4 linked regions of the Stegostoma tigrinum genome follow. The protein of the gene in region 1 binds, or shares a complex with, the protein of each later gene. Links are inferred from orthologs where the notes say so. Each region holds a gene or a part of one and is shown in the gene's direction. Other genes may lie near its edges.

The links.
Region 2: lin9 (region 1) and e2f4 share a complex: the UniProt entries of both Homo sapiens proteins name them as parts of the DREAM complex. The link is inferred for Stegostoma tigrinum from reciprocal best matches to the Homo sapiens genes LIN9 and E2F4.
Region 3: lin9 (region 1) and rbl1 share a complex: the UniProt entries of both Homo sapiens proteins name them as parts of the DREAM complex. The link is inferred for Stegostoma tigrinum from reciprocal best matches to the Homo sapiens genes LIN9 and RBL1.
Region 4: lin9 (region 1) and mybl1 share a complex: the UniProt entries of both Homo sapiens proteins name them as parts of the DREAM complex. The link is inferred for Stegostoma tigrinum from reciprocal best matches to the Homo sapiens genes LIN9 and MYBL1.

The regions. Positions count from the first base shown.
Region 1 is NC_081357.1:10,405,982-10,413,331, forward strand, and holds the start of lin9 (protein lin-9 homolog), read left to right. Parts: upstream 1-4,332; 5' UTR 4,333-4,368; coding exon 4,369-4,399; intron 4,400-7,350. UniProt on the Homo sapiens protein: Acts as a tumor suppressor. Inhibits DNA synthesis. Its ability to inhibit oncogenic transformation is mediated through its association with RB1. Plays a role in the expression of genes required for the G1/S transition.
Region 2 is NC_081369.1:8,294,356-8,301,715, forward strand, and holds the start of e2f4 (transcription factor E2F4), read left to right. Parts: upstream 1-4,356; 5' UTR 4,357-4,435; coding exon 4,436-4,552; intron 4,553-7,360. UniProt on the Homo sapiens protein: Transcription activator that binds DNA cooperatively with DP proteins through the E2 recognition site, 5'-TTTC[CG]CGC-3' found in the promoter region of a number of genes whose products are involved in cell cycle regulation or in DNA replication.
Region 3 is NC_081372.1:1,760,573-1,768,559, reverse strand, and holds the start of rbl1 (retinoblastoma-like protein 1), read left to right. Parts: upstream 1-4,981; 5' UTR 4,982-5,102; coding exon 5,103-5,249; intron 5,250-7,888; coding exon 7,889-7,987. UniProt on the Homo sapiens protein: Key regulator of entry into cell division. Directly involved in heterochromatin formation by maintaining overall chromatin structure and, in particular, that of constitutive heterochromatin by stabilizing histone methylation.
Region 4 is NC_081358.1:31,539,393-31,546,509, forward strand, and holds the start of mybl1 (myb-related protein A), read left to right. Parts: upstream 1-4,102; 5' UTR 4,103-4,436; coding exon 4,437-4,456; intron 4,457-7,117. UniProt on the Homo sapiens protein: Transcription factor that specifically recognizes the sequence 5'-YAAC[GT]G-3'.

The DNA.
Region 1 (7,350 bases):
GTTTGCTGATGATACTGCCATGGGAGGATGGATAACTAACAATGATGAGTCAGAAAACAGAAAGGAGATAGGGGGCTTGGTGCAATGATAACAAGCTCTTTCTCAGTGTTGGAAAAACAAAAGAATTATCACTGACTTCAAGAAGAAAGGAGGAGGACACACCCCTATCCATCAATGAATCGGGTTGAAAGGCTCAAATCCTTGGGAGTGATGATAACCGCAACTTTCCCCCCACAGTGGTCGAGAACGCCCTTGACCGCGTCTCCCGCATTTCCCGCAACACATCCCTCACGCCCCGCCCCCGCCACAACCGCCCTAAGAGGATCCCCCTCGTTCTCACACACCACCCTACCAACCTCTGGATACAACGCATCATGCTCCGACACTTTCGCCATTTACAATCCGACCCCACCACCCAAGACATTTTTCCATCCCCACCCCTGTTTACTTTCCGGAGAGACCACTCTCTCCGTGACTCCCTTGTTCGCTCCACACTGCCCTCCAACCCCACCACACCCGGCACCTTCCCCTGCAACCGCAGGAAATGCTACACTTGTCCCCACACCTCCTCCCTCACCCCCATCCCAGGCCCCAAGATGACTTTCCACATTAAGCAGAGGTTCACCTGCACATCTGCCAATGTGGTATACTGCATCCACTGTACCCGGTGTGGCTTCCTCTACATTGGGGAAACCAAGCGGAGGCTTGGGGACCGCTTTGCAGAACACCTCCGCTCGGTTTGCAATAAACAACTGCACCTCCCAGTCGCGAACCATTTCAACTCCCCCTCCCATTCTTTAGATGACATGTCCATCATGGGCCTCCTGCAGTGCCACAATGATGCCACCCGAAGTTTGCAGGAGCAGCAACTCATATTCCGCTTGGGAACCCTGCAGCCCAATGGTATCAATGTGGACTTCACCAGCTTCAATATCTCCTCTTCCCCCACCGCATCCCAAAACCAGCCCAGTTCGTCCCCTCCCCCCAGTGCATCCCAAAACCAGCCCAGCTTGACCCCTCCCCCCACTGCATCCCAAAACCAGCCCAGCCTGTCTCTGCCTCCCTAACCTGTTCTTCCTCTCACCCATCCCTTCCTCCCACCCCAAACTGCACCTCCATTTCCTACCTCCTTGACCTGTCCGTCTTCCCTGGACTGACCTATGCCCTCCTTACCTCCCCACCTATACTCTCCTCTCCACCTATCTTCTTTTCTCTCCAGCTTCGGTCCGCCTCCCCCTCTCTCCCTATTTATTCCAGAACCCTCACCCCATCCCCCTCTCTGATGGAGGGTCTCAGCCCGAAACATCAGCTTTTGTGCTCCTAAGATGCTGCTTGGCCTGCTGTGTTCATCCAGCTTCACACGTTATTACCTTGGATTCTCCAGCATCTGCAGTCCCATTATCTCTCCCATCCAAGGACTCCATTTATACTTCTCGTTGCCACGGAAAGGCTGCCAACATCATCAAAGACCCCACCCGCCCTGCTAATGTTCTCTTCCATCAGGCAGAAGGCACAGAAGCTTGACCACATTCACCAACAGGTTCAATAACAGCTTCTTCCCTGCCATTAATAGACTGCTGAATGAGCTGTAACATCAAATAATGTTGATCTTGCTTTATGACCTCCTGTGCAGCTGTAACCTTGTATGCCTCGCTCTGTCTAAGCACCGTACGATCTGTATGTCCTGGTTTGCTATAATCAGCCTGTACTCCTTGCAAAACAAAGCTTTTCACTGTAGTTAGGTACATGTGACAACAATAAATCAAATCAGTTGGCACATTCTCTTCCTTAGATGTATCTTTCTTAGGCATGCTCAACAATGTTGGCATATTTCAGTGACTACAAACTGTGAAAGGTGCATTCCTGCCTTGTTCAATGGTTCTAAGCACTGATCTCTTGCACATGCAATCTTGTGCTTCAGTATCCAAACAGCAGTACAGAATCCAGGGATAGTAGGAACTGCTGATGCTGGAGTCTGAGATAACAAGGTGTAGAACTGGATGAACCCAGCAGGCCAGGCAGCATCCTCTTTTTTTTGAAGAATGGTCCAGACCCAAAACATCAGCTTTCCTGCGCCTCTAATGCTGCCTGGCTTGCTGTGTTCATCCAGCTCCACACTGTGTTATCTTAGCACAGAATCCAGCCTTGTTTAATGGGCAAATGATGCACAACTTTCAGACAAGCATGTTAAACTGAGGCATCTGTGCCTGAAATGAATTTACAGGATCCTACAGTGTTCTTTGGAAGAATAGGGGAGTCCTCTGTGAGAGATAGTAGGAACTGCAGATGCTAGAGTCAGGACAAAAAGGTGTTGAGCTGGATGAACTCAGCAGGCCAGGCAGCATCATAGGAGCAGGAAAGCTGACATTTTGGGTCTGGAATAACAAAGTGTGGAGCTGGATGAACACAGCAGGCCAAGCAGCATCTTAGGAGCACAAAAGTTGACGTTTCGGGCCTAGACCCTTCATCAGAAAAGGGGGAGGGGGAGAGAGTCCTGCACAAAAGCTGACGTTTCGGGACCCTTCAGAAATTGAGGAGGGGAAGGGGGCTATGAAATAAATAGGCAGGGGGCCGGTGATAAAAGGTTGATAACGGAGTGGATAGGCGGGAGAGAAGACGGACAGGTCAGGGAAGCGGAGATGAAGCTAGTAAAGGGGAGTGTAGGTAGGAAGTGGGGGTGGGGATTATCAGTGAGGCGGGAGGAGCAGATAGGTGGGAGAGAAGACGGACAGGTCAATGAGGCGGGGATGAGAGGGGGGAGCTGGTCTTGGGATGAGGTCGGGGCTGGAGAGATTTTTAAGTTAGTAAAGCCCACTAAGACTATTGGGATGTAGGATTCCAAGGCAGAATATGAGGCACTGTTCCTCCAGTTTCTGGATGGCATCATTGTGACACTGGAGGAGCCCAGGATGGGCGTGTTGTCCAGGGAGTGGGAGGGGTAGTTGAAGTGGTTCGCGACTGGGAGGTGTTGTTTGTCGCAAACCGAATGTAGGTGCTCCACAAAGCGGTCTCTGAGCCTCTCTTGGTGTCCCTGACGTAGGGGAGGCCACAGCAGATACAACATACCATATTAACAGATGTGCAGGTAAACATCTATTTAATGTGGAAGGTTAAACTCTGTGTTTTCCTGGCTATCATTTGTTCATTAACTCAGGACAGGTGGATAAGGCTGAGAGGGCATGTGTGATATTTACCTCTGTTAGTCAAGGTATTGGAAGAGGAGAGCAAGGGAGGTTATATTGAAGCTGTATATTGTGTTAGTTAGGCCACAGCTGAAATACAGCATGCAGCTCTGGTCACTAAACTATAGGAAGGACGTGACTGCACCAGAGGGGCTGCACAGGAGATTCACCAGGATGTTCCCTGAGTTAGAATTCAGCTGTGAAGAGAGAATAAATAAGCTAGGGTTGTGACAATGTATTCAAAACAGAAATTGCTGGAAAAGCTCAGCAGGTACTTGTTTTTTTGCAGGTTTTGGGGCAACACAGTCATTAACATTGCAGCCTTACAGCACCAAGGGCCTGGGTTCAATTCCACCTGTTTGTGTGGAGTTTGCATCGTTCTCCCTGTGTCTGTGTGGGTTTCCTCCCACAGTTCAAAGATGTGCGCGGGTTTAGGTGGAACTGGCCATGGGAAATTGCCATGCTGTGGTGTTCAGGTTAGGTGGATGCTAGTGTGGACTTGTTGAGCCAAAGGGCTTGTTTGCACACTTGTAGGGATTCTACTTGAAACATAACCAAGCCAGTTAACAAAGTGTGGAGCTGGATGAACACAGCAGGCCAAGCAGCATCTCAGGAGCACAAAAAGCTGACGTTTCGGGCCTAGACCCTTCATCAGAGAGGGTTATGCCCTGAGGGAGGAGGGTAACTTCTTCAGGTTAGGCATCCCTGGAAGAGGCTTCGCAGTGAGTTTGGCCCGCTGTGTTCATCCAGCTTCACACTTTGTTATCTTGGATTCTCCAGTTCCCATTACCTCTGGCAACCAAGCAAGTGCCTCCTCCTGGATTCACTTCGATCATTCCTCCAACCCCAGAATATCCTGCTCAAGGTGACCCACGTACTCCATACAGTCGGTGAGGCTAACTTTTATAGAGACCCCCCCCCCCCCCCCCCATATAACTAATCACCGCCCTACTGCAAGACGTTGATGAAGTAGGAGGAGGGGGTGGGGGGGCGCTGGGACTCGAACCCACGCCTTCGCTCTCCTCGCCAGCCCGCTCCCAGCTTGCCGACCCAGGGGGCGATCCCGCGACGCCACACGCGCCCCGGCGGCTCTGCCGGCGCCTCTTCGCGAAGGTTTGTTTCTGCCGCCCTGCATCGCCCAGAATGCCGCGCGGCTCGCTTTGAAAAGCGGCGCGGCCGATTCAAGATGGCGGAGGTGGAGGAGCTGCCGGATGAGAGTGAGTCCGGGGCGGGGGTGGGGGAAGGAAGGAAATCCGGGAGGGGGAGGGAGACAGACTCCCCGAGGGGTCGGGACGCCCTGACAGCCAGCAGCCTCCTCGTCCAACGACCCCCCCCCCCTTCTCCTCCCCTCCATCCAGCCCACCTCCGGGAGCCCAGGTCGTGTCCCTGCCCGGCGGGTGGGGGAACGCGGAGTCTGCCTGATGAGGGCCGAGGATCCGACACTGACTGACAGGCCGGGGCCGGAGCTCGGGGCCCGGGCACCGGCGGATCCCGGGTCCGCACGGGGCGGCCTCCTCCGCCGCAGACTGCCGGGACAGGGTGCTTGGGGCGTGGGGCGGATCCGGATCACCTCACCCCACCCCCACCCCCACCCCTACCTGGAGCTGCCTGTGGATGTGGGCGGCTGTCACACTCGGACTGTTTCCCCCCCCCGTTACCTGGGGCTATCCGCCCAGGACAGGCCCTCCTCCTCCTCTGACTCTGAGTGAGGGGCTGAGTGGGGAGACGGATTCCCGGCTAGAAAAGATAAATCACAGCTGGAGAGGGGTGTGTGTCTGTGTCGCGGGGGTAGCTGTGGTGGCTGTCCGCTTTAACGCGATTCCCACTGTTCGAGGGAAAGTTGTGATACTGTTTATTTAAATTTGAAACTGGATGTAGATGCTGTGGGGTTTTTTTTGTTTGATGTGTTTTTTTTTGTATGTAATGGATTTGAAGGCCGCCTGACAAATGTGACTCTATGCTGTGATCCGTTCTGTTTTGCGAGAAGACTTGAGGTTGCAGTGTGTTTGCATCAAAGACGTTGTTGGGGGCGGGCCCCCCCTGTTTTGTCTTGGTCATTGGAGGTTTCCTGGATAGTGCTGAAAAAGTGGCGGGGTGGGTATGAGTGCTCGAAGTATATGTGAGGGGCTGAATAGCCTAAGCCTGTTGCTGTAAAAGATGTGGGATACTGTGTAGCGTATTCGATGCACTTCTGGCTGGCTCATCATCCAAAAGTCTGTAAGCAATGATTCTGATGAGATCCTGTTCCTGGGTCATCTTTACTGACCTAAACTGGCTCCAAATTACATTTCTGGAATTCTCGCTCCATGTTTGCAGATCTACTCGATGGTCTCAACCCTTAGTATCTTTGTAATTGCTTTCAGCCTCTCAATCCTCTGTAATCTGTACTCTAATTTTGGCCTTATTAGTTCTTTCCATATTCCTTCATTCTCAGGCCCTACATTCTGCAATTTCCTCACCACAAACTTCGCTTTACTCCTTTAAAACACTTCTGAGAAAAAAAACTACTTGGATCAAGCTTTTGATCACCTGCCCCAAGATTGCCTTGGTTTGGTATTAGATTTTGTTGCTTCACTCCTGCGCAACAGCTTGCAATGTTTTACAATGTTTACAGCACTCTATAGGTACAAGTTGCTGCTGAAGGTTTTTAATCTGTGGTCTGACACTGTCTTGTTTGGAGAAGTGGAGGACATAAAGTATCTTTAGAGGTTATCAAACTTCTTTATTTGCTGTTTGTTCCCTTGTGGCAAGTGCCTTAGCCATTTTTCATGTTCAAAGTGTGTAAATTTTGATGCATTTTCCAGTTGATTATTTCTGCAAGTGTGAAACAAGACTTATGTTGCTGAGTTTGGATTGAGGTCCATGTGAATATTTTTTAATGGGAGTGATGGGTTACAGGTTCATCTACTCAGTGTAGAGGAGCAGAATAGTTTTTAGTGAGAGGGGATGTTTACAGTTTATCATTTTAGATAAATTTTGCCATTAAAAACTTGCTTACTGAATGTTTTTGATCGCTGCTTTACCTATGACAGTTTTGTGAACTGTGCAAGTGCTTGCAACTCTTAACAGATTGCTTCTTCAGAATGTTTCAGCATGGTAGTGTATTTGTGAATTACCATTGTATCCCTAAAACATAGTCATAGATTTCAAGGAACTGGATGGTAGTCAGGCTTTTCCTCAAGTCAGACTTTTGACAAAACTGCGCTACTGCTTGGAAAGGAATTGCTACATCTTTGAAGAAGGAGAAATTTGAAGGGCTCTGGGGAAGACTTGGGGAGTACTGTTTATTGGCTAGCTCCTTTGAACTGATATAAGCAGGATGACCAGGATGTTGTTCTGTGCTGTATTGTGACTCTTCATTCCCTTCCCCGATTATACCTTCTGACCAGAAGAAGGAAACTATTATGGTGAGTTTCCATTTTAACCTAGGACTTCCCTAGTTTGTGGCCTAGGATCTGTTGCTAATGGGGTCATTTAATGATGTTGGTACAATTGGGTGGGCCTAATCTGTGTCCCCATGGTGGTCATTGCCAGATGTTAGCCAAGCCTCCTGAGAAGTATGTCATTGTATAACAGTAAAGTTCTATGTGACTAACATCTTTAGTAACATTTTTGGGCCTGTCCAACGTGTTGATAGTGATGCATGCAAGAACATCTAGTTTGGTGTCTGTAAGATGCCGGAATACTCATTGCTACGCATTACCAGTGACAGATCTGCAGCCATCGGTATGACTTTGCCCCCCAGGTTATAATGTTCACCGTGCTGTCTGCAGAGAGCCAGCTGAGTTTGGATTTTTTGGATTTGCATGAATATGTATTGTACAAATCTCTCACGCCTATTATAAAATTTTAGTGAGATCACTTCTGCTTGACTTGCATTCATTTAATTAAACCAAACCATAATTAATTCTACAATGTGGCCATCCATAGATAAATAAACTGCGCCATAGTTATTATACTGCAATGAACCCCTCAGTATACTTAAAAACCCAAGGTCTGCGAGTAACTTAAACTGTTATCTTATCTTGCGCCTATTCATAACATCACAAGATCACACAAGTTAGTACTATTGGATCAAGCCAAATCTTCTGTTTATCCATCCATAAGAAAACCTGCAGGTCATCTCCTCCTCTTTCCCTCACTATTGGTTTTAAATATGCTTTGGATT
Region 2 (7,360 bases), on another chromosome or scaffold:
TTTGTAATGGCCACAACATCGTAGTTCCAAGATGGGTTTGGAGAGTCAGGAGGGTATTTCTTGCCTCAATTGCTGTTGTGGCCTCTATGTTTATAAGGCTGGTCCAGCTTAGTTTCTGGTCAATAAACATCGACCAAACTCCCCCACCTCTCCAGAATGGCAATAGAAGATAATCCAGTGATCATGATACTGTTGAAAATTATGATGGAGTGGTTGGACTCGTTGGTGTTGGAGATGGCTACTACCTTGCACAGTTGTTCTTTTTCCCCATCAAACACTTCCAGGACAGGTACTGTGCAGCGTTGCAAAGCCATCAGAATAGGTTAAGGTCAGCTGGCAGCAAAATGACATGATGAACTTTCCTTCATATCAGTACCCTCAGACAGTGAAGGCCATCAGTTTAATTGGGACAATGTAACCGTAGTAGCCCAAGCCAAACATAGACATGCATGGGAATTCCTAGAGGCACGGTTCTCCACCCATACTTCAATCAACAAACATATAGAGTTGGACCCCATATACAAGCCCATACAGATCAAACCTGGAAATGACAGTACTCACCACAATGGACCGGACAGTATAAATTCCAAGTGGAGTAGAACAACATCACTTCCCCAGAGGCCTCACTGATGATGTCACCAAGCATGATGACGAAACGTCTGAATGAGAACAAGCCAGCTCGGTGAGCAAGTCAATAACCCCACCCACAACCCGAGCTACAGATCTTTGCCAACACTGTAAAGCTCCTCTACTCTTTTAAACTGGAAGTATAGTTCTCTCCACGTTGTCCTCATCAAAAACTCCCAGGTCAAGTTCAACGCAGAGTTTGACAGTGAGTAAAGTTCCTTCAAATCTTTTAAATGGAAAGAAAGCTGAAAATAAAGGTCTTTCTACACTGTCTCCATTAAACTCTCCCAGGATAGGGACAGCATAGGGACTAGCAGCAGAGTAAAGCTTTGTCTACACTGTCCTCATCAAACATTCCAAAGCAAGTACAGCATAGAGTTCAATATAGAGTAAAGCTTACTCTACTTTTTTAAAACAGAAAGTTAATGTCTCTTAACACTGTCTTCATCAAATGCTTCTTGGACAGGCACAGCACATAGTGAGTAATGCTCCATCTACTCTTTTAAACTGAAAGTAAAGCTCTCACCAATTGGACGGTTGTCTGGTTTCTAATTGTTCAGCATACTTTGATGCACGCAGGCACAGACTGCTTCATGTCCATGGAGTTGTGAATGGAATTGATCATTGTGCATCAAACAGTGAACATCCACATTTGAGAGAGAAAGTCATTTTGGGGCCTGATGTTTCTGCTCGCCTTGACCTCTGAGGTGGAAGGTCAGGAAGGAGCTATTAACGGAGCCTTAGAGAATATTTCCAGTGCATCTTGTGCACTTGCTGCCATTGTGCATTGATGATGGAAGGAGTGAATATTGGAGGTGTTAGATGGAGTGCCAATCAAGCGGGCCACTTTATCCTGGATGGTGTTAAGCTTCTTCAGTTTTATTGGAGCTGTTCGCATCCAATCAAGCACAGAGTATTCCATCACACTCCTGACTTGTGCCTTGTAGAGGGAGACAGTATCTGAGATCTGAGTTAGCGGCCACAGAATTCCTAGTCTCTGACCACTTCTTGTTGACATAGCAATTCTACTGTTAGTCAATACATGTGGAGCTGAAGGAACGCAGCAAGTCAGGCAGCATCAGATGAGCAGGAAAGTCGGCATTTTGGGTTTACACCCTTCATCAGGATCTTTCCTGTTCCTCTGATGCTGCCTGACCTGCTGTGTTCCTCCAGCTCCACACTGTATTCGCTCCGACTCCAGCATCTGCAGTTCTTTTTCCATTTCTACAGCTAGTCCAGTTCAGCTTCTCATCAATGGTAACCACAAGGATGTTGGTAGTGGCAGGTTATCGTTGACTTAAGTGTCACTTAATAACATGACAGACAGAAGCTTCCAACAGTTTGCTGAGGTGGTAATTGGCCAGGTAGGATTGTCCTGTGCTTTTGTGCACAGGACAGGCACAGGCAATTTTCCACATTATTGGGACGATGCCAATGTTGTAACTGTACAAGGGCAGCATGTTTAGGAACATAGCAGAGCAAGTCTGTGGTAACATTGCTGGAATATTGTCAAGGTCCATGATCTTCACAGTGTCCAACATCTCCAACTGTACCTTGATACCGCATGGAGTGCACTGACTAAAGCCTGGAATCTGTAATATTCAGGATTTCAGGAGGAGGCTGAGATGGATCATCCACTCAGGTCTTCTGGCTAAACATGGTTGACAGTAATTCTATCTTGTCTTTTGATTTAACGTGGAAGGCACCTCCATCACAGACAATTTGTGGATCCTTCTCTTTTCAGTTGTTTAATTGTCCATGTTGCTCATGACTGCATAGGGTAGGACTGCAACATTTAGCTATGATTCATTGGGTTGTGGGATCCTTAGCTCTCTCTATTGCTGTTTAGCCTGCAAGTTGTCCTGTGTTGTAGTTTGACCAGGTTAACATATCATTTTGAGGTATGCCTGGTACTGGTTCTAGACATGTCCACCTGTACTCCTCATTGAACCAGGTTTGATTATGGAGTTGTTTGGCAATAGTACAGTGGGGGACACACTGGGCCATTAGATAACAGATTCTGGTTAAATACAGTTCAGCTGATGATGATTGATAGCACTTCATTTGCAGTTTTAAGTTGCTAGATCTGTTAATAAGGAGGACTTTTTCGGGACAACAGGGCTGTGGGTATTATTATTGTTTCCGACGCTTGGTCAATGCTTTTGTTTTTATTCCTTTCTTTTAGGCTTTGTAGCAGTTTGATACAATTGAGAGGCTACTATGGCTACAAGCAAAGTTCGAATGGCATTCAGGTCATACTAGTGGCAGATTTTCATTTTTTAAGGCCATTTTAGGACCTGATGGTTTTTGATGACAATTGCTAGTGGTTTCATAATTACTATTAGACTAGTTTTTGATTTAGTCACAGAACTAAAAATTCACCATCTGACATGAGACTTGAACCCACGCTTCACAATGCTTTAACACAGGTCTTTGGATTACCAGTGACGATAGAATGAAGCCACCACCTCCCCAAAACATGACAAATGTGGAATGAAGGTGGTTGGCAGAAGACCTTGGAGGGAGATTGGTGGAGGGGTTTGGGCAGCTGAGCCGAAATCTTCTTTCATTCGGAACATTGTTGTTCAAAAACAAGGAAAAGGAGCAGGAGGAAGACATTTGGCACCACAAGCTTACCCTGCCTTTCAATGAGATCAGGACTGATAAACCTCAGGTCTCAATTCCTATTTCATATCAATATTTCACAGCCTTCAAACTTGGATGTTGAAGATGGCTTCCTAACCCCACCCCAATGTTCCAAACTTTATGGAGGGTATGGGAGGGTTGCAGAAGGAGTGTGGGTTTAAAGGCACTTCCTAAGGCAGGCAGGTTTGTGGTTTCTGGGGAGCATGTTTTTAATACACGGTCCCCGAGGTAGGCAGCAGGAAGTTTTGCATTTCTTGATATTTCAGTGATTTGCAGATGTTCCTTGGGTGGTTTTGTGACATGTGGGCAAAGTGGCAGTTTGCAGATGCTGCCTGAGAGCCACAGTTTGTGCTTTGCTGGAAGTGTGGTGTTTTGATGATACTCCTTCACTGGTACTCCTGTTTGCACTTTGCCGGGAGAGAGGCAATTTGAGAACAGTCCCTTGGTGTGGTCGGTGCTGTTTGCCCACTGCATTTGATGGCAACTGTTTGAGGATGCTCCCTGGCTGGGGCATGCTGTTCGAGCTTTGCGCAGAGGGAGGCAGTTTAGGGGCACTCCCTGGTGGGGGGGCCAGTTTGCTCTTTGCGGGGACGGGTGGGGTTTGAGGACGCTCCCTTGCTGGGATCTGGGACAGTTGACAGCTTGCAGAGAGGGTGGCAGTTTGAGGATGCTCCCTGGATGGGACCTGGAATTGGGGGGGGGGGGGAGGGGGAAAGAGACTGTCTGCGCTTTGCGGAGAGGGTGGAGGTTTGAGGACGGTCCCTGGCCGGGGCTGTCTGCGCTTTGCGGAGAGGGTGGAGGTTTGAGGACGGTCCCTGGCCGGGGCTGTCTGCGCTTTGCGGAGAGGGTGGAGGTTTGAGGACGGTCCCTGGCCGGGGCTGTCTGCGCTTTGCGGAGAGGGTGGAGGTTTGAGGACGGTCCCTGGCCGGGGCTGTCTGCGCTTTGCGGAGAGGGTGGAGGTTTGAGGACGGTCCCTGGCCGGGGCCCGGTTTGAGGTTGTTTGTTGGGGCGGGGGGGGGGGGTGTTGCTGTTTGCTCCCAGTTCAAATCAGTCCCGGCGTGCTGCGCGCTGCTAACGGCTACCGACCGAGAGAGACAGAGAGAAGGATAGAGGGAGGGAGGGAGTGAGTGAGTGAGGAAATAAAGTGAGTGTGTTGGTGAAGATGGCCGAGGCCTTACCGCAGACTCCGAGCAGGCATGAGAAGAGCCTGGGACTCCTCACCACCAAGTTCGTGTCCCTGCTGCAGGAGGCCAAGGACGGGGTGCTCGACCTGAAAGTGGTGAGGGGAGCGGGGGTTTAATCCGGGGGGGGGGGGCGGGTACACGGCCCCTGGGGGTGGGGTTGGATTCACCCCCCCCCCCCGGGGGGGTAAGGAGCACCGAAAGGCCGGCACACACACACACACACACACTCCGCCGGCTCTGGGAGAGGAATGAGGAGCGATTTTTTTTCGGGGGGGGGGTGTTAAAAGGGGAGGGGCAGCTGGACACCGAACAACCCCCCCCCCCCTCCGAAACCGGAGACACCGCGCGGCCTTGGTTGGGGGTCGGGGGGGAGGGGGGTTTGCGGGAGAGCACGTGCTCAACCTCCCGGTGCAGCGCGTCCGCTTCCACCCCCCACCATCATTCACATTGGTATCGTCCTACTCAGCTACCCCACCCCCCTACATTCCCCACTGACCACCCCCCCACTGACCCCTCCCCGCCACATTCCCCACTGACCCCTCCCCTGCCACCTTCCCCACTGACCACCCCCCCACTGACCCCTCCCCGCCACATTCCCCACTGACCACTCCCCTGCCACATTCCCCACTGACCCCTCCCCGCCACCTTCCCCACTGACCACCCCCCCACTGACCCCTCCTCTGCCACCTTCCCCACTGACTGCTCCCCACTGACCACTCCCCTGCCACCTTCCCCACTGACCACACCCCCACTGACCACTCCCCTGCCACCTTCCCCACTGACCACTCCCCTGCCACCTTCCCCACTGACCACCCTCCACTGACCACTCCCCTGCCACCTTCCCCACTGACCACTCCGCTGCCAACTTCCCCACTGACCACTCCCCTGCCACATTCCCTACCGACCACCCCCCACTGACCACTCCGATTCCACATTCCCCACTGATCACCCCGCTGCCACATTCCCTACCGACCGCCCCACCACTGACCATTCCCCACTGATCACCCCCCCACTGACCATTCCGCCTCCCACATTCCCCACTGACCACCCCCTGCCACATTCACCCTGACCACCCCCCCAACTGACCACTCCCTTGCCACAGTCCCCTGCCATATTTCCCACTCACCATTCTCCCTCCCCCACTGACTACACCCCCCACATTCCCCCTGACCACTCCCCTGCCACAGTCCCCACTGATCACCTCCCCAACTGACCACACTCCCCTCACATTCCCCTCTGACCTCCCCCCCCCCATGTTTCCCACTGACCAAGCCGCCCACCTCCTCCACTGACCACCCCTCTCACTGACCACATTCTCCACTGACCACCCCCCCCACATTTCCCTTTGACAACCCCCTGACATTTCCTTCTGACGCCCCCCCACCTCTCCCTCAATGTCACCACCACCACCTCCCAGTTCCCCACCCCCTGCTGTCCCTCAACACCGCCACCCTCCCGGTTCACACTCAGCCACCCCCCTCTGCCTGAGCCCTCCTTCCTTTAACCCCCCCCAACCTCTGAACTTATTTGTTTCCCCCCCAACCTCTGTTCTCCCTCCCCCAACAGCCCTCTGTCCCTCTCTGCCACTGTGTGTGTGCGGGTGTCTCCCCCTCTCTCTCATTATTGGCAGTAAGGGTGAATATTGTCTTTTATATGACATTGTACTAGAGGACCGAGGAGCCCTATCAAGTGTGCAGGTGTCCTATTGCTGAATTCATTGCTGTGGCTACGGGGACCATTCACACTGAGTCACTGTTGAAATTCGCTGGGTAATAACTGTTCCTGCAGTCGCACAGGTAAAGCTTTGTTTTGCAGCACTGTTTGGCAAAGTCCGAGACAATGCTGGAATCTGTTCAACAGCACACATGGTCACTCTGGTTCAGTAGCTAGGTGCATTGTTGAGTGCCACACACAGTTAACCAAAGGTCAGGGGTTTAATCCTGCGCTGAGCCACTGCATCTCAGTTAGGACAGCCCTAAAGTATTTGCTTCAGTCACCGCTCTGGGTGTCCTGTGAGGGAAAGGGATACATGGAAGAGATCTAATTAAGACATGCAATTCTAAAATGCTGCTCACACTGTCGAATAGCTTGCCATCAGTCTGGGCTAACAGATAACAGTTGTTCCCTTGTGTTAACATTGCAGAGGGTGGGTGCGGCTTCAGATTGAGATCTCGGGTGGAGCTCAGGAAAACGGTGGGAGAAGTACCCCATTGGCATCAGAAAGTTCCCATTGCTGCTATCTTGGAGAAGATGTGAACCTATTTAAGTCCTTCTTGATTTAGGCTGCTGCTGGATTCATGATTGATCTTGACCTTTGGCCACTTAGTTAAAGAAACTGTGACTGAGCCAGTCCAGTGCTATCCGTCACCATGTGTCCTCTCCTTGGGCCTGGGTTTTGGTCATGGGTTTGTGGTTTCAGCTGTTCAGTGGTTGGTCAGACCTTCGGTTGCTGCTGTCAGCCTGCCGGCTGCAGCACCTGCCAGTGTGGCACTGTGATACTCGGATCCCGAGGCTTTCCACTACTGACTCTGTCAGCGTCTCGTTGTGCCGTGATTCCTCCCACAGTTCAATAAGCCATCTCATACCGTCCCATTAGAGTGCATGTCACCCAGGTTTTAGGAACAGGTCACTGCAGTATGCGAAAGGATTCTCCACTCTCGGTGAGGGACAAAACGGCAAGGCTACATCGAGGGAGAACATTGCTCGCAGCTAGTCTAGCTGATTGGGGAATTCCCCTGTCAGTCATTCCTGGAGGCTGGGGTGGGTGGAGACTTTGAAGGTTTGGTCCACAGTTTGGAGAATCTGTCAATATATAGCCCCAGTTCCCACCCCCACCTCCCTCTTCCTGCCTGTGTCTCTGGTGTTACAATCATTCTAAAACAAAGCTGTTGTTAGTGACAGCC
Region 3 (7,987 bases), on another chromosome or scaffold:
TATTTACACTTTGAGTCTTGGTGACACACGGGTGTTCTATCTACCAAATGCTAACTGTGAAGTGGCAATGGATTTGTTTATCCAACACCCCTACGTTTTGATTTCTGACAGTGATTTCTGTTTTCATTTCTCCTCTTCTGGACCACTAAAGTAGTTTTCCATCCCACATGGTGGAAGAGGCGTTGCTTCACCAGTGAATGCTAAGGGGGTCCTGCAGATCGTACGGGCGAGTAACAGCATCATGATGTAGTTTGTTTACGATCAGATATTCCATTTAGTACTTTTCTTTCCCCCCCACCCCAGTAAAGCATTTCCAGTAGCCTGGCTTTAGGTACAAACTGTTCGGTGATGATTCAAGCACTGTGTTTTATTAACTTTTGTTTCCACTGTTGTTTCCATTGTGTCGGAAACAGAATAAAATTTAACTATCAATAAAAAATGGAAGTTGGTAAATTTTATATTTTAGATGTCTTAATTTCTGAATAATAGTTTAGCGTATTCTGTCTGTGTTGTACAGCAGGTCTCAAGACCACACCGTTCCAGTTGTCAGCAATGGGTGCTTAGTTGCCTAATAGGCAAAAGACTATCTCCAGACTCTCAGACTGGAACTTCAGTTTTCATGATGGCTACCAGCTATAGTTAAGAAAAAGCTTTGTCTGATATCAGCCAAAGTTAACACATTGAGAATGTTAAGTGTAAAATCTTTTTTCTGGTGTGGTTTGGGGAAGGGATGACCTTAATATTACTCATCTTGCCATATAGTGTGTGTTTGATGGTCCTAGTTGGTTTGCACTCTTGAACAAGGCTCTGGCCTGCGTTATTACTGCCCTGTCAGTTACATAACAAGAGCTCACTAACAGGAAGGGGAATTGAACAATAATATTACTATGACAGTTGCTCTATAGCTTAACTCGAGATGCTTGCATTACAGTTCTGTCAGTGAATGATTTTCACATCTACCAAGCAATATTTTTTCCCTAATTAGTCGAGGACACAAGTTGGAGCTGGCTTCCAAAATCAGGAGCAGCATAGACTTTAGATTTGAACAGTTCATAATGCAAGGCTTCTGTGGCAAAAAAAAGGCCTCTTTCTACTGTGCTTTCCCCTGTCTACACTAATGGCAGCCCGGCACGGATTCCCTCTGCTCTCAATCATTTCATCCTGGTTCCTATTCTTAAAACAAAGCCTTAGAGGAAGTGACGTTGTTTTCAAATTTAGTCAATGTTGCAATGCTGCGTATTGGATACCTCATTTATTTTGTATCAATATCCCCAACCTACTGATATAATTGCTCTTGTATCTAAATACTGTACCTGACTTGTCGAAAGCCTCAATAAAAAGTTAACAACCCGGCATAGAGCGGTGTTGATGTCTGAGGTCATGCAAGAGTTTCCGTCTCATTTGCTTAATGGAAGAATCTGCTATTGGGGTGGGTTTTTCTTTTTTAAAAAAGAAAATTTGCTTGAGACGTGTTTAGTTTCTTTCAGTTTTGCTTTTAAAAGGAACTAGCATTAATTTGTGGTCCAGTTCTTCCCTTGGACATGCAGCTTCAGCTGTATCTGACAGAACAATTGGAATTCAGCCTTCTGACCTCCTTCAGACTTTGATCAGTAATGGAAAGTAATGTAAGGATTTTAGGAAACAGATTATCCAATAAAGAGGATCTATTGTTTAGCATAAATAATTATTATTTTCACCTCCATCAGAGGAAGTGTCTGTTATTGCTGTATTGTACAGTCTGGAAGATAAGAATTCACAAACTTGTGTGACATACCAGAAGAGAGAATCCTCATTTAGTTTCCCTTTAGTGCTTTGTGTTGGGAGTATTTGTGCAAATCTACCTGAGCAAGACACTTGGTTGAAAATGTTCAGAATAAAATCTACCTTGCATTGTAAAATGTTGCGTAGTCCCCAACATCTTGATTGATGACTCACTTTAATAAGCAAGACAGACCTTTATCAATGTGATTACATCTTTGCCCCAAAATGGTTGTCAGTTTTATCAAATGCCTTTGCAGAATTTACGTAATGTTGGGGTGTGACTTCATTTAAATTGGGATAGGAGGAGACCATTTAATCTCTTGAGACCTTACACTGCCACACAATTATATCATTGCCATAAACTATCTCAACATTACACACCTTTGTTCCTTATCTCCTGATCCCTTTAACTAACAAAAATCTATTGTTCTCAGTCAACATTGAATTGTGATTGGGAACAATCAACACAACATTTATAGCCTGGAGAAAATGGTCCAGAGTTCTGCTACTCTATGTAGTAAAAGTCCTTCTTAATTTCATCCTTAACTGATTTAGCATTCGTTGTAACATTGATGTTTTATTCGGGATTCCAGTCAAGGGAAATTTCTTTTTCGGGGCTATTAAACACATTAATTTTTTTCTACTCAGTACTTTGCACTCCATTGACTTAATATTGATTGTAAATGCTGGACTTTAGCTATAACTAAGCTTCTCTGTGACAGTGATGACAGTGGAGTTTGGATAATGATTTCAAAGAGGGACAGCAGAGCATGGAATGGGGAATCAAAAGGAAATCCGAGTGCATCCTTGGCGTCGGTTTACCTTTTTGATTTACAGACTACTGGTCAATGGGGGCCTTTTCTGGATGGATGGACTTTATGCCGTGCTATCTATTTTCCCCCACTGCTGTACGTTGACAATGTTGGAATTCAGCATTCTGATCTCTCTCTCTCTTTTCCATTGCTGAAAAGCAATAATTTGGAGAAACAAACAATGCTGGAGACACACAGCAAGTCTGGCAGCATCTTAGGAGAACTTCTCTTTTCAATGTGCTTTGGACAACCACATCAGACTATGAGTAAATTAGCACCCAGTGGTGTGTTCACAAGATCCACCAAATCAAGAGGCAAGGAAGGCAGTCCAACAGCAGCACCCTCCCCCAACAATGTGGCCAGCAATTATTCCTGGCAGAATCATAGAACAAAAGAACTGTCAACGCTGGAGATTGAAAACAAAAACAAACTGCTGGAGAAGCTCAGCAGGTCTGGCTCCATCTATGGAAGCAAATAGACACAATGTTTGATATCCAGTGACCCTTCCACAAACCAGTTGCTGTGGGCAGGATCTCATTTGTTGATCTGATAGACTCCCAAAGCAGCTGCTCTGGTCTGAACTTAGTTTTTACAGGGGTCTGCCGGGAGGGCAGTGGAAGTGGTTTTGTTGAGGTGCTTGAAGCATTCCTGTCAATTCGTGCAATCCCTGGATCGGTTTTGACTGAAGTGGGGAAGAATCATTTCAAAATGCACAAATGCATTAAGGGATTTGCTTGAGAACATGTAGAATTGGTGACAGCACACAAACTCCCAAACAACCATCTAAGCAACTCTTCAAATAGCACCTGCTCTCCCTGTGTTAGAATCTGCTGATCCTTCCAGAACCCATTGAACAGGAGTAGGAGCAAATCATTCCCAGTAGTATTGCATATAATTCAGCTGTTCTTTCTTGAGAAATCCATTCTGCAATTTGACCATTTCTGAGAGGGTGGGCAAGATGGCAAAAGGTCAAGTTGAAATTGGTTCAAATGCTGAGGCTGGGGAAAGAAAGTGAAACAGGTAAAAATGGGGGGGGGGGGAGAAAGTGAAACGGGTAAAATGGGGAGGGAGAGAAAGTGAAACGGGTAAAAAGGGGGGGGGAGAGAAAGTGAAACGGGTAAAAATGGGGGGGAGAAAGTGAAACGGGTAAAAAGGGCGGGGGGAGAAAGTGAAACGGGTAAAAATGGGGGGGGAGAAAGTGAAACGGGTAAAAAGGGCGGGGGAGAGAAAGTGAAACGGGTAAAAAGGGGGGGGAGAGAAAGTGAAACGGGTAAAAATGGGGGGGAGAAAGTGAAACGGGTAAAAAGGGGGGGGAAAGAAAGTGAAACGGGTAAAAAGGGGGGGGAGAGAAAGTGAAACGGGTAAAAATGGGGGGGAGAAAGTGAAACGGGTAAAAAGGGCGGGGGGAGAAAGTGAAACGGGTAAAAATGGGGGGGAGAAAGTGAAACGGGTAAAAAGGGCGGGGGGAGAAAGTGAAACGGGTAAAAAGGGGGGGGGAGAGAAAGTGAAACGGGTAAAAATGGGGGGGAGAAAGTGAAACGGGTAAAAAGGGGGGGGAGAGAAAGTGAAACGGGTAAAAATGGGGGGGAGAAAGTGAAACGGGTAAAAAGGGCGGGGGGAGAAAGTGAAACGGGTAAAAATGGGGGGGGAGAAAGTGAAACGGGTAAAAAGGGCGGGGGAGAGAAAGTGAAACGGGTAAAAATGGGGGGGAGAAAGTGAAACGGGTAAAAATGGGGGGGGAGAGAAAGTGAAACGGGTAAAAATGGGGGGGAGAAAGTGAAACGGGTAAAAAGGGCGGGGGGAGAAAGTGAAACGGGTAAAAATGGGGGGGGAGAGAAAGTGAAACGGGTAAAAAGGGGGGGGAGAAAGTGAAACGGGTAAAAATGGGGGGGGAGAGAAAGTGAAACGGGTAAAAAGGGGGGGGAGAAAGTGAAACGGGTAAAAATGGGGGGGAGAAAGTGAAACGGGTAAAAAGGGCGGGGGGAGAAAGTGAAACGGGTAAAAATGGGGGGGGAGAAAGTGAAACGGGTAAAAAGGGCGGGGGGAGAGAAAGTGAAACGGGTAAAAAGGGCGGGGGAGAGAAAGTGAAACGGGTAAAAAGGGCGGGGGGAGAGAAAGTGAAACGGGTAAAAAGGGGGGGAGTTAGTGAAGGTGATGCCGGAGGCGGGGGGGGCGCGGTGAGTGAGCGAAGGTGATGCCGGTGGGGTGGGGGTAGGGGGGTGGAGGTCTCAGGTACTTTCTGGCTGGGCGGCGGAGTATGGGTGACGTTAGGTTCCGAGTGCTCCGCGGTGATCCGGCTGTGCGAGCTACTCTTTCCGGGCTATTTATAGAATGGGCGTGGTGACCTGGTCGAGCATGCGCGGGTTTTTGGCGCCACTGCCGCGGTGTACTGTGGGATTAGTGTCCGAGTGGAGCCGGGGCAGTCGCGGTGGGAGAGAGTGACTGAGTCGGAGGGACGGAGTCAGAGCGAACCGGCAGGGATACGGGAAGCGACAGACAGGTACTGAGCCGGGAGGGAGAGCCAGCACCATGCCCAGCGGAGAGAGCCGGGACGGCGGCAGGCGGTCACTGCGTGACAGCTTCGACAAACTGTGTCAGGACCTGAACATGGATCTGGAGAGCGGGGCCGAGGCTTGGGAGAACCTGCAGCGGATCCGCCTCAACTACACTCTGGAGGTGAGGGTGGCTGGGAGTAGGGGTCGTCGCAGAGCCTCCCCAACCCCGGTCTATCTCAACTACAGCGTTGGAGTTGAGACCATAAGATATAGGAGCAGAATTAGTCTATTCAGCCTATCAAGTGGAGATTTACTGGGATGCTGCCTGGATTTGGTGGGGTGTGGTGGGGCAGCTCTTATGAGGAAAGGTTGGGGGAGCCTGGGCTTTTTTCATTGCAGTGAAGGATGAGAGGTGGCTTGATAGAGGTGTACAAGATGATCAGAGTGCATAGTCAGACTTTTTCCCAGGGCGGAAATGACTGTTACGAGGGGGACATAATTTTAAGGTGATTGGAGGGGGGCATAGGGGAGATGTCAGAGGTAGGTTCTTTATACAGAGAGTGGTGAGTGTGTGGAATGCGCTGCCAGCAATGGTAATAGAGTCAGATATTTTAGAGCCTTTTGGACAGGCATGTGGAGGGTAGTAAACTGTAGTGGAAGCAGGATAGATTGATCTTAGGATAATAGATCAGCACAACATTGTGAGTCAAAGCCTGTATTGTACTGTTCTATGTTCTATATGTTAGTCTGTGCCCCCATTTGATCACAGTTGATGTGTTGCTCAAACCCATCATCCTGCCTTCTCCCTGTAACCCCTGATCCCCTCACGAATCAATTGCTGTCTTAAATACAGTCAACCATTTGGCTTCCTCAGCCTGCTGCGGCAGTGAGTACTTTGGCAGGAAGCATACAGGCATTGACTGCTTTCTAAATGGGGAAAGGCTTTGGAATTGAGGGAATGTATCTCATTGAGACTTAAAGAATACTGAGACGCCTGAATAGATTGGACATGAAGATGATGCTCCTACCTGTAGGAGAGACTTGGTCCCAAGAGCACAAACTCAGAGTGAAGGGACCATCCTTTAGAATGGAAGAGGACTTCCTTCAGCCAGAGGATAGTTAATTTGTGGAACTCATAGCTGTTCTTGATTGGCAATAGGAACAAGGATGGGGGAGAGAGGGCAGGAGATCGAGGAACATATCTGCCATGATCAAGTGGCAGAGCAGATTTGATGTGCTGAAGAGCTTAATGCTGCTCCTATCTAGAGTGGTCTAAAGTGTGAACCTCATTTGTGTGGAATTTAAGTTTTTAAACTGAGAATTTAAATTTCTCTTGATTATTAATGCAGTACCACTACCACATTCAATAAATAGAACAGTTGAAAACACAGTTTGTGGTTAACTAGTATATTGCTGATCATTTCTGTGATATATGATGTCTTTTTGATGAGTGCGGAAGTGATGTGTGTAGTGGTTGGTTTTAAAACACACCAGCTGCATTTCTGTGTTGTGGAATTTGCTTTATGTTTGTACTTGTCTCTAACTTGGTCACTCTGCAAGTTTCACTTGTTTCCTTCCAATAATTAAGATTATTGCTAAGGAAAAATAGTTGCAATATAAACATCTGTAACAGAAGAAATAGATTGAGTCATTAAATGCATTTTTCAATTTAGAGTTAAACTCACTTTCAATTTATAATTTCACTGATATTTTGTGCTGTAAATTGGATTGATTCTATTTGTGCCTGCCCATTTGCTACAAAATCAAAGCTAAAGAACATTTCACTCAATAGTCATGCCTGCATGAATGTCCTAATTATCAATTCTATGTTGATATTGCACCTGGGGAACTATTGTATGTTAACCCAGGTGAAGTTGCAGTGAAACAGTGGAATAGTTCATGGAGTTTGAGGATTATTTCAGTGATTTCAAATTCATTTTGTGGAGATCAGGACTTTGGTGTGAGCATATGTTATGTACTATGTACACTTCTGGTCTCCAAATCTAAGCTCACGTATATCTATTTAGTGCAACAAAGATTTACTCGATTGGATCCTGGAATATGAGGATTCCCTTGTGTGGGGCCATGAAAAATGAGGAGAAATCTCATTAATGATAAGTGTGGAGCTGGGTGAACACATCTCCTAAGTGCTCCTAAGATGCTGCTTGGCCTGAGGTGTTCATCCAGCTCCACACTTATCTTGGATTCTCCAGCATCTGCAGTTCCTATTATCTCTGAGAAATCTCATTAAAGCTTTTTAAAATCACTGCATGTGTTATGAAGCGGAAATTGATGCCCCCCCCCTGCCAAAAATCTGTTAAAAGAAGTATGAAAAGTGTTATAACCAGCTGGTCATCCCCAATCTGTTGTAAAGGAGTGGTTAAATAAAATGGAATCTTTTCACTTACTCAATCAACAAAATGTAACAATTTACTTATCTAACTTTAACAGTGAACAAATTAGCAAAACTACTAACAAACAAACAATTCCCCCTTAACTATTAACTACTCCTGAATAAAACAAAACTCTTCAGTAAGGTGATGTCACCTCACCTCAGCCAACGAAGGAGCAGCACTCCAAAAGCTTGTGATTTCAAATAAATCTGAACTATACCCTGGTGTCATGTGACTTCTGACTGAATATGTTCAAGGGTGAGAGATCTTTTGACGTTTCAGAACCTAGCAATATGGAGAGCAAGTGGGAATGTGGAGTTGAACTGAAAGGTTAGTCACGCCCATACTGAGTGATACACCAGTCTGGACAGACTAGTCTGATTGTGTTCCTATTTTTAATGGACTCGTTTCTTAATGCTTGTTTCAGGGAGAAACTCTGCACTGGCTTGCATGTGCCTTGTATGTAGCCTGTCGCAAAAGTATCACGCCAACTGTTGGCAAGGGGACAATGGAAGGAAACGGTGTG
Region 4 (7,117 bases), on another chromosome or scaffold:
AATAGGCTGTGTAATGAGGTAAGATGGAACAGGCTTGCACTGGTTGCCATGTAGCCTGTGGACGCAGTCATCTACCCAATTTAATAAATCAGAGAAACTGCATCCATTCATCAAATCAGTTGAAAATGTGCATTGCAAGTCAAAGTCAGCTATCAATTCCCTCCTGCCTAGGAAAGTCTAAGAGACAATGTGCTGGACTCAAAGCCCTGATTTCTTCACCGGAAAAGTGGTGAGCCTGTGGATTTAATAACCCCAGGAAGTAGTTGATGCCAAAACACTGAACGTATTCAAAATGTGCCTAGATATAGCACTTGAGGCAAAATAGATCAAAGGTTGTGGGGAGAAAGTAGGGTTAGGCTTTTGAGTTGGACAATCAGCATAACATGAACAATGGCAGAGCAGGAGCAAAGGGCTGAAGGGCTGCCTCCTGCTATCTTCAATGTTTCTGTTCCCTTCAGAGGAGACAAGGACCCTTTGACATAGACTCATATGGGGACAACCATTGTGGTCTTTAAAAGAGGAATGGAGAAAGGACATGAGGAGAAAACAACATTTAAGAACTGAATATACCAGAGTTCAAGGTTGTGGATTGTTGCTTTTCACAATCCAGAAATCACCATTAGAGATTTTGAGAAGATGGAGGCGGTGTGAATTTTAATGGACTGTTAATAGATTAGTACTAATCTATGTCTGAAAGTGATGTGATGTCATATGGTGATCGTACAAGTTTGTGGAAGACGTAAAACAGAACAGTAAGATGTGTTCCAGTAAAGCTCCTGTTTCATAATGAGTCTGCAGGGGTATTTAAATCTAAAAATAATTCAGGCTGATATTTAATGCAAAATCATTACATAAGTAACTGTACTTAATACCTTGCTTTCTGTAAATTGCATTGGGGCCTCTTAGGGTCAGTGAAAAAACTGATATAAATGCCAGTCAGAGACAGTAAAAACTGCTGATGCTGGAGTCAGATAATACAGTGTGGAGCTGGAGGAACACAACAGGCCAGGCAGCATACAGGAGCAGGAAAATTCACGTTTGGGACAGGACCCTTAAGAAATGGAAGAGGAGGGGTGAGCAGGGGAAGGTAGGTGGAATGGTGATAGGTGAGCACAGGTAAGCAGTGGTGGGGATTGGTCAGTGAGGTGGGAAGAGCGGATATGTGGGACAGGAGATGGACAGATTGTGTCAGATCAAGGAGGCGGGGATAAGAGAGAGGCTTAGTCATGGGATAAGGCCGGGGTGGGGAAATTTTGAAACCAGTAAAGTCCACGGTGAGACCATTGGGTTGTAGGCTCCCAAGATGGAATATGAGGTGCTGCTCCTTCAGTTTCCAGGCGGTGTCATTGTGATACTGGAGGAGGCCCAGGATGGACATGTCGCCCAGGGAGGGGGAGCTGAAATGGTTCATCACGAGAAGGTGTTGTCGTCTGTCGCGAACAGAATGCAGGTTCTCTATAAAGCGGTCTCCGAGCCTCCACTTGGTCTCACCGATGTAGAAGACGCCACATCAGAAGCAGCAGATACAATAATCCACATTGACAGATATGCAGGTGAACCTCTGTCTGATGTGAAAGGTTTGTCTGGTGCCTTGGATGGAGGTGAGGGGGTAGGTGTGGGGGCAGGTGTAGCACTTCCTGCAGTTGCAGGGAAAGGTGCTAGGGGTGGTGGGGCTAGTGGGGAATGTGGAGCAGAAGAGGGAGTCACTGAGACAGCTTGAACAGTTCCTCAACTTTACTAACCCCTTTCTCCCCAACTTCAAGTTCACCTGGACTATCTCTGATACCTCTCTCTCCATCCTGGATATTGATATCTCTATGTCTGGTAACCGCCTCAAAACCAACATTTATTTCAAGCCCAGTGACTCCCACAGCTACCTAGACTATAGCTCCTTTTACCCACCTTTTTGCAAGAATGGGATCCCCTACTCCCAATTCCTCTACCTCTGGTGCATCTGCTCCCAAGATGGGGGGGGTTCCACTACCAAACATCCCAGATGTCCTCTTATTTCAAGGACCGCAACATCCTGTCCCACCCAACTTTGGTGGTCAAAAATGCACTTGACCCACATCTCTTGCATTTCCCGCACCTCTGCCCTCACATCCCTTTCTGCAACAAAAACAAAGATATATGAGAACAAGTGGGATTCTATCACTCCACTAACCATATTCAACGTATCATTCTCTGTCATTTCTGCTACCTGCAATCCGACCCCACAACCAAAGATATATTTCTCTCCCCACCACTATCTGCCTTGCATAGGGACCGGTCTCTCCATGACTCCCTCGTCTGCTCCACACTCCCCACTAGGGCGGCACGGTGGCTCAGTGGTTAGCACTGCAGCCTCACAGCGCCAGGGACCCGGGTTCGATTCCACCCTCAGGCGACTGTCTGTGTGGAGTTTGCACATTCTCCCTGTGTCTGTGTGGGTTTTCTCCAGGTGCTCCAGCTTCCTCCCACAGTCCAAAGATGTGCAGGCTAGGTGGATCAGCCATGCTAAATTGCCCATAGTGTTCAGGGGTGTGTGGGTTATAGAGGGATGGGTCTGGGTGGGATGCTGCAAGGGGCAGTGTGGACTTGTTGGGCCGAAGGGACTGTTTCCACCCTGTAGGAATCTAAACACTAGCCCCATGTCCTCTGATGCTGCCTGGCCTGCTGTGTTCCTCCTACTCTACACTGCGTTACCTATAAATGCAAGTTTTTTTAATAAGTTAAACCCTTGTCTACTTATTCCAGGAACATAAGCAGAAGAAACAGAAAGGTACAACATAAAGATAGCAATAACACAAACACCACTCCTCAGATTTTTTTCTCGCTCTGACACCATTTCGAAGTCTCAAACGTTGTAACCTCTCAGTGAGAACTTTGAGAGCAAGGGCCTTTTTAAAGTGTGGGGAGGTGATGGCCCAGCCAAATTATCCCTGGACTAATCCAGAGATACAGGTGATGCTCTGGGAACCCATGGTCAAATCCTCCCATGGCAAGCGGTGGCACTGAATTTAATAAGAAGTCTGGAATTAAGAGTCTAATGATGTTGCTGGTTAGGGGGAGAAAATACATTCATTCCAAGATGGGACCATATTCTATAATTTGCGGTTTGTAACTCGAGTAAAGGTTTATTACAAACATACACGTTGTGAGATATGCTGAAACTACGACGATAAAACTAAGAACTGCAGATGATAGAAATCTGAAACAAAAGCAGAAATCGCTAGAGAAACTTCATCTGACGAATGGGTCATTGGACTTGAAACATTAACGCTGTTTCTCTCGCAACAGACCGGCTGAGTACGATGTTTACATCTATTCCTTTCGATATTTTTTGATCTTTACCGTTCAGAAATGTTATAACCCACTTTGGGCTCAGGTGGCACTTGAACCCGGGCCTGCTGTCTCAGAAGTAGGGACACTAGGTGTGACAGTGGCTCAGGGGTAAGCCCTGCTGCCAGAGACCTGGGTTCGATACCAACGTCGGGTGTGACGGTGTGGAATTTGCACATTTTCCCCGTGCCTGCGTGGGTTTCCTACCACAGTCCAAAGACGTGCAGGTTAGGCAAATTGGCCGTGCTAAATTGCCCTCAGTGTCTACGGGAAAGACAGGTGTGGGTCTGGGTTGGATCTCGAGACAGTCGGTGCGGACTCGACAGGCCGAGTCGCCTGCTTTCACACTGCAGGGATTCTATGATACTACTACACCGACCTGGCTATTCTTGTTACGTATGTTTTAACAAAAAAAAGGACTTAATTGAAATAAACTGTCACATTATGGTTAGGTTTTTTTGCAACAGGCACTCATCAATGACAGACTTGCCCATCGCCTGCCAACAGCAGCGGCGGTGTTTGGGACCCACACAAGATGGCGCACTCGATGTTGGTTCTCAAGGCGCACGGCTTCCATATAGACTACAATTCCCAGAGTGCCTGTCAAGTGCGCATGCAGTCGAAGTTCGCCGTCAAGGCGCACGGGCTTCGATGTGGACTACAATTTCCAGTGTGCCTGTCACGTGCCCGCGCTGCCGCTCGCGCCGCCCCCCTCGCACGGAGGGCCCTATGAACGGTCAGGACGCGTGCGCACATTCAAATATTGTCGGGGAGTGTTTGAGAGGGAAGGCAGGGCGCGAGATTTGGCGGGATATAGAAACGGAGCAGTGAGAGTGGCTGAGAGGCAGCAGTGGAGAGCTGAGCTCCCCTATAGCCACGTACATACATACACATATATATATATATATATAGAGAGAAACACACAAATACACTCTTTCTCTCTTCGGGCTGCTTGGGGATATGGTGACCCCACCGCTGGTACTCAGGCAGCCAACAGCGACCTTCAGCCCATGTATTAATGATCGGAGACTAACCATCCCGGAGTCCCCGAGCGGAGTGAGTGATTGAGGAGTCCTGGGAAAGGCAGAAAAGGGAGACAATCGTCCCTGTCAGTGATGGCCAAGCGAGCCCGGAGGTGAGTGCTCTGCGGGTGGCTTTTCGCTCATCAGGACTACTAGCGTGGAACATTGAGCTGTCTTTTTTTTTATTTTTGAAGTTGTACTGGCTGTCAGCTGCCTGCAGCGAGTTACACGGGACCTGTGATGTTTGCATCTATTCTTATACAAATGTATTATCAAAACAAAACTAAATGAAGCGCCCATGGATCATTGTCATGTTATGATTAGTTTTGCAAAAGGCAGTTTGCGTATGTTTACGTCCATCTAGGTAAATTTATTAGGGAGCTGCTAAAGTTCAAAGTTGAATATGCACAGTGCATCAGGTATAACGTGACAAATTTCAACCTGTTGAGTTGTCATTCCTGTGTTTTTGGAGGTATAACACGCCACATCATAGCTGGGCGTGCAACATCGCTGTAAAACTGATCACAGAACCTGGCCAAGAGTACAATTGGCAGTAGTTGGCCAATAGCAATTGCTAGGATTCGGTTCAAATCACCGCCGTCTTTAGTTGTCAAATTGATTGTAGGCCTAGATTAACCATGAATAAATCAATGTAGTAACATTACCCAGGTTCTGTTTTTTTCTGTTGGGTTGGAATACGAGGAGAGAGGAATACAGAGTTTTTCTGTCCCTGAATCTCACGAGGATTCCACTGTTTATCTTGAAAGCGTTAAATAGGATTTTCAGGATAGTTTTAATGAGTACCAGCTAAATGGATTGAAGTTTTCTTGCCTATTCTTCCATGTAATAAATGACAGAAATCAAGTCCATTTCATGTAAGCTGGAAATAAGTTAGTTTATCCTGATACGTTCTTGGTACTCGGTATTCTGGTGAATAATTTTATTTGAAATGACGAGTTTATCAAGCAGATTTGTAGAATGGCTTCCTGCCACACTGGAACCATTCAGCCTATTGCCTGAGCTGTCTGTCTACAAGAGCAGTTTACCTAATCTCATTCCCCTTGATCTTTTTCTGCAAGCTAACTTTTCTTTTAAAAAAAGACTTTGGCTACTTATCTAATTCTCTTTTGAAAGCCATGATTGAATTTGCCACCACCCCACACTTAGGCAGTGTATGCTGGATCTTAGTCACTCAGTTGTTGTTTGGAAAAATTGTTTTTCCTTGCACTGTTTGTTTTATCATGCACCTTAACTTGGTGTCCTCTGACTCTTACGTAGCACTGTAACTTCTTCCTGTCCATGCTGTCTAGATCCCTGATGATTTTGAACACCTCTGTCAAATACTTCTCTTAAACTTCTCTAAGGACAGTAGCCTTTTCTCTTAACTGAAGCCCCTCATCCCTAGAACTAATCTTACCAATGTTTTCTGTTGTCACTCTGAAGCTTTCACACCCTTCTTGGAGACAAAATTACAGTTGAGGATAAACGACGAGGTTTATCATCACTACATTGAATTTTTACTCTACTTCTATTTATAAATGAAGGATGTGTTAATTGCTTTCTCAATCAGTCCCAGCCACTCTGCACAATGCATGCACACACACACACACACACACCCTAGGTCTCTTTCCTCTTGCACTCCTTTAGAGTTGTGCCTTTGTTTGTTTTCCTTGCCTTTTCTTGAATTTTCTAACAGAATGTAAGTTTCAGTTTGTATTAAATTTAATCTACCCACTCCCATCAACCTGCTTTGACCTCCTTGAAGTGATTGCTCTGTTCCTCAGTTCGCACAACTTCCGAGTTTTTTTTCTGATCTAAATTTTTGAAATTGTGCCATCCACACAAATCTATCATTAACATAGATTAAGGAAAATTAAGTTCATAGCACTGGCTTCTGGGGAACCCTGTATCAACCATTCGCCACAACTGTTTCCAGTCTTTCAACCAGCTTTGTATCCACTACCTATGGATTCAACTTTATTAGCAAACCTGTTATGTGACATTTTATCAAATATCTTTTAGAAGCCTGTGTACACGACTTTTAAACATGTTACCCTCAAACGTTCTGTTACTTTTAACTAATTTAATTCAAGTTGTTTTCTTAAATAACATGAAATTCAAACACAAGATAAAAGTACTCAGCCAGACGGTAATTCGGTTTTTCTTCACACATGCTGCCTAATGATGATCTTTCAGGCCTTTGCAGTTTTTAATGCATTTGTATTAATTAAATATGATTCACCCTTGGTAAATCCACACTTTGCTTTAGTTAATACTTTTATAAATTTTTAGCCTTTAAGTCTCTCAACTTCCTCTTTCATTGTGGCTTGCACAACATCTTCCTTGGTGAAGATAGACGCTAAGTCATTAAATAACTCAACAATGTTTTCTGTCTCCATGAGTATGTCTGAGTTCTGCCACTCCTCTTGCTACCTTCTTAGGTTAACTGCAAATCTCTTATACTCCTTCTGCCATTTTCTCACACTTGGCTGAAATTTTTGTATTTAGTTTAGACCTCATTTGTATTTTGAACTGATGTTGATCATACAGAATCATTCACTGCTTCATTTTACTTTCTCCTATCATTTGACCAAAATTTTCCTTCGTAACACTTTGCCTTGACTTGTGTTCAACCTTTTCTGCATCAGAGACCACTTCAGGCTCATTTATTGCTTTGTCTACCAATATCATTGGCATTCTATTTTACCTGGGCCAGTTCTCAATTCTTCAGCAGTCTACTCCCAAAAGAGTCCACCAGATCCTCCCACGTTCTT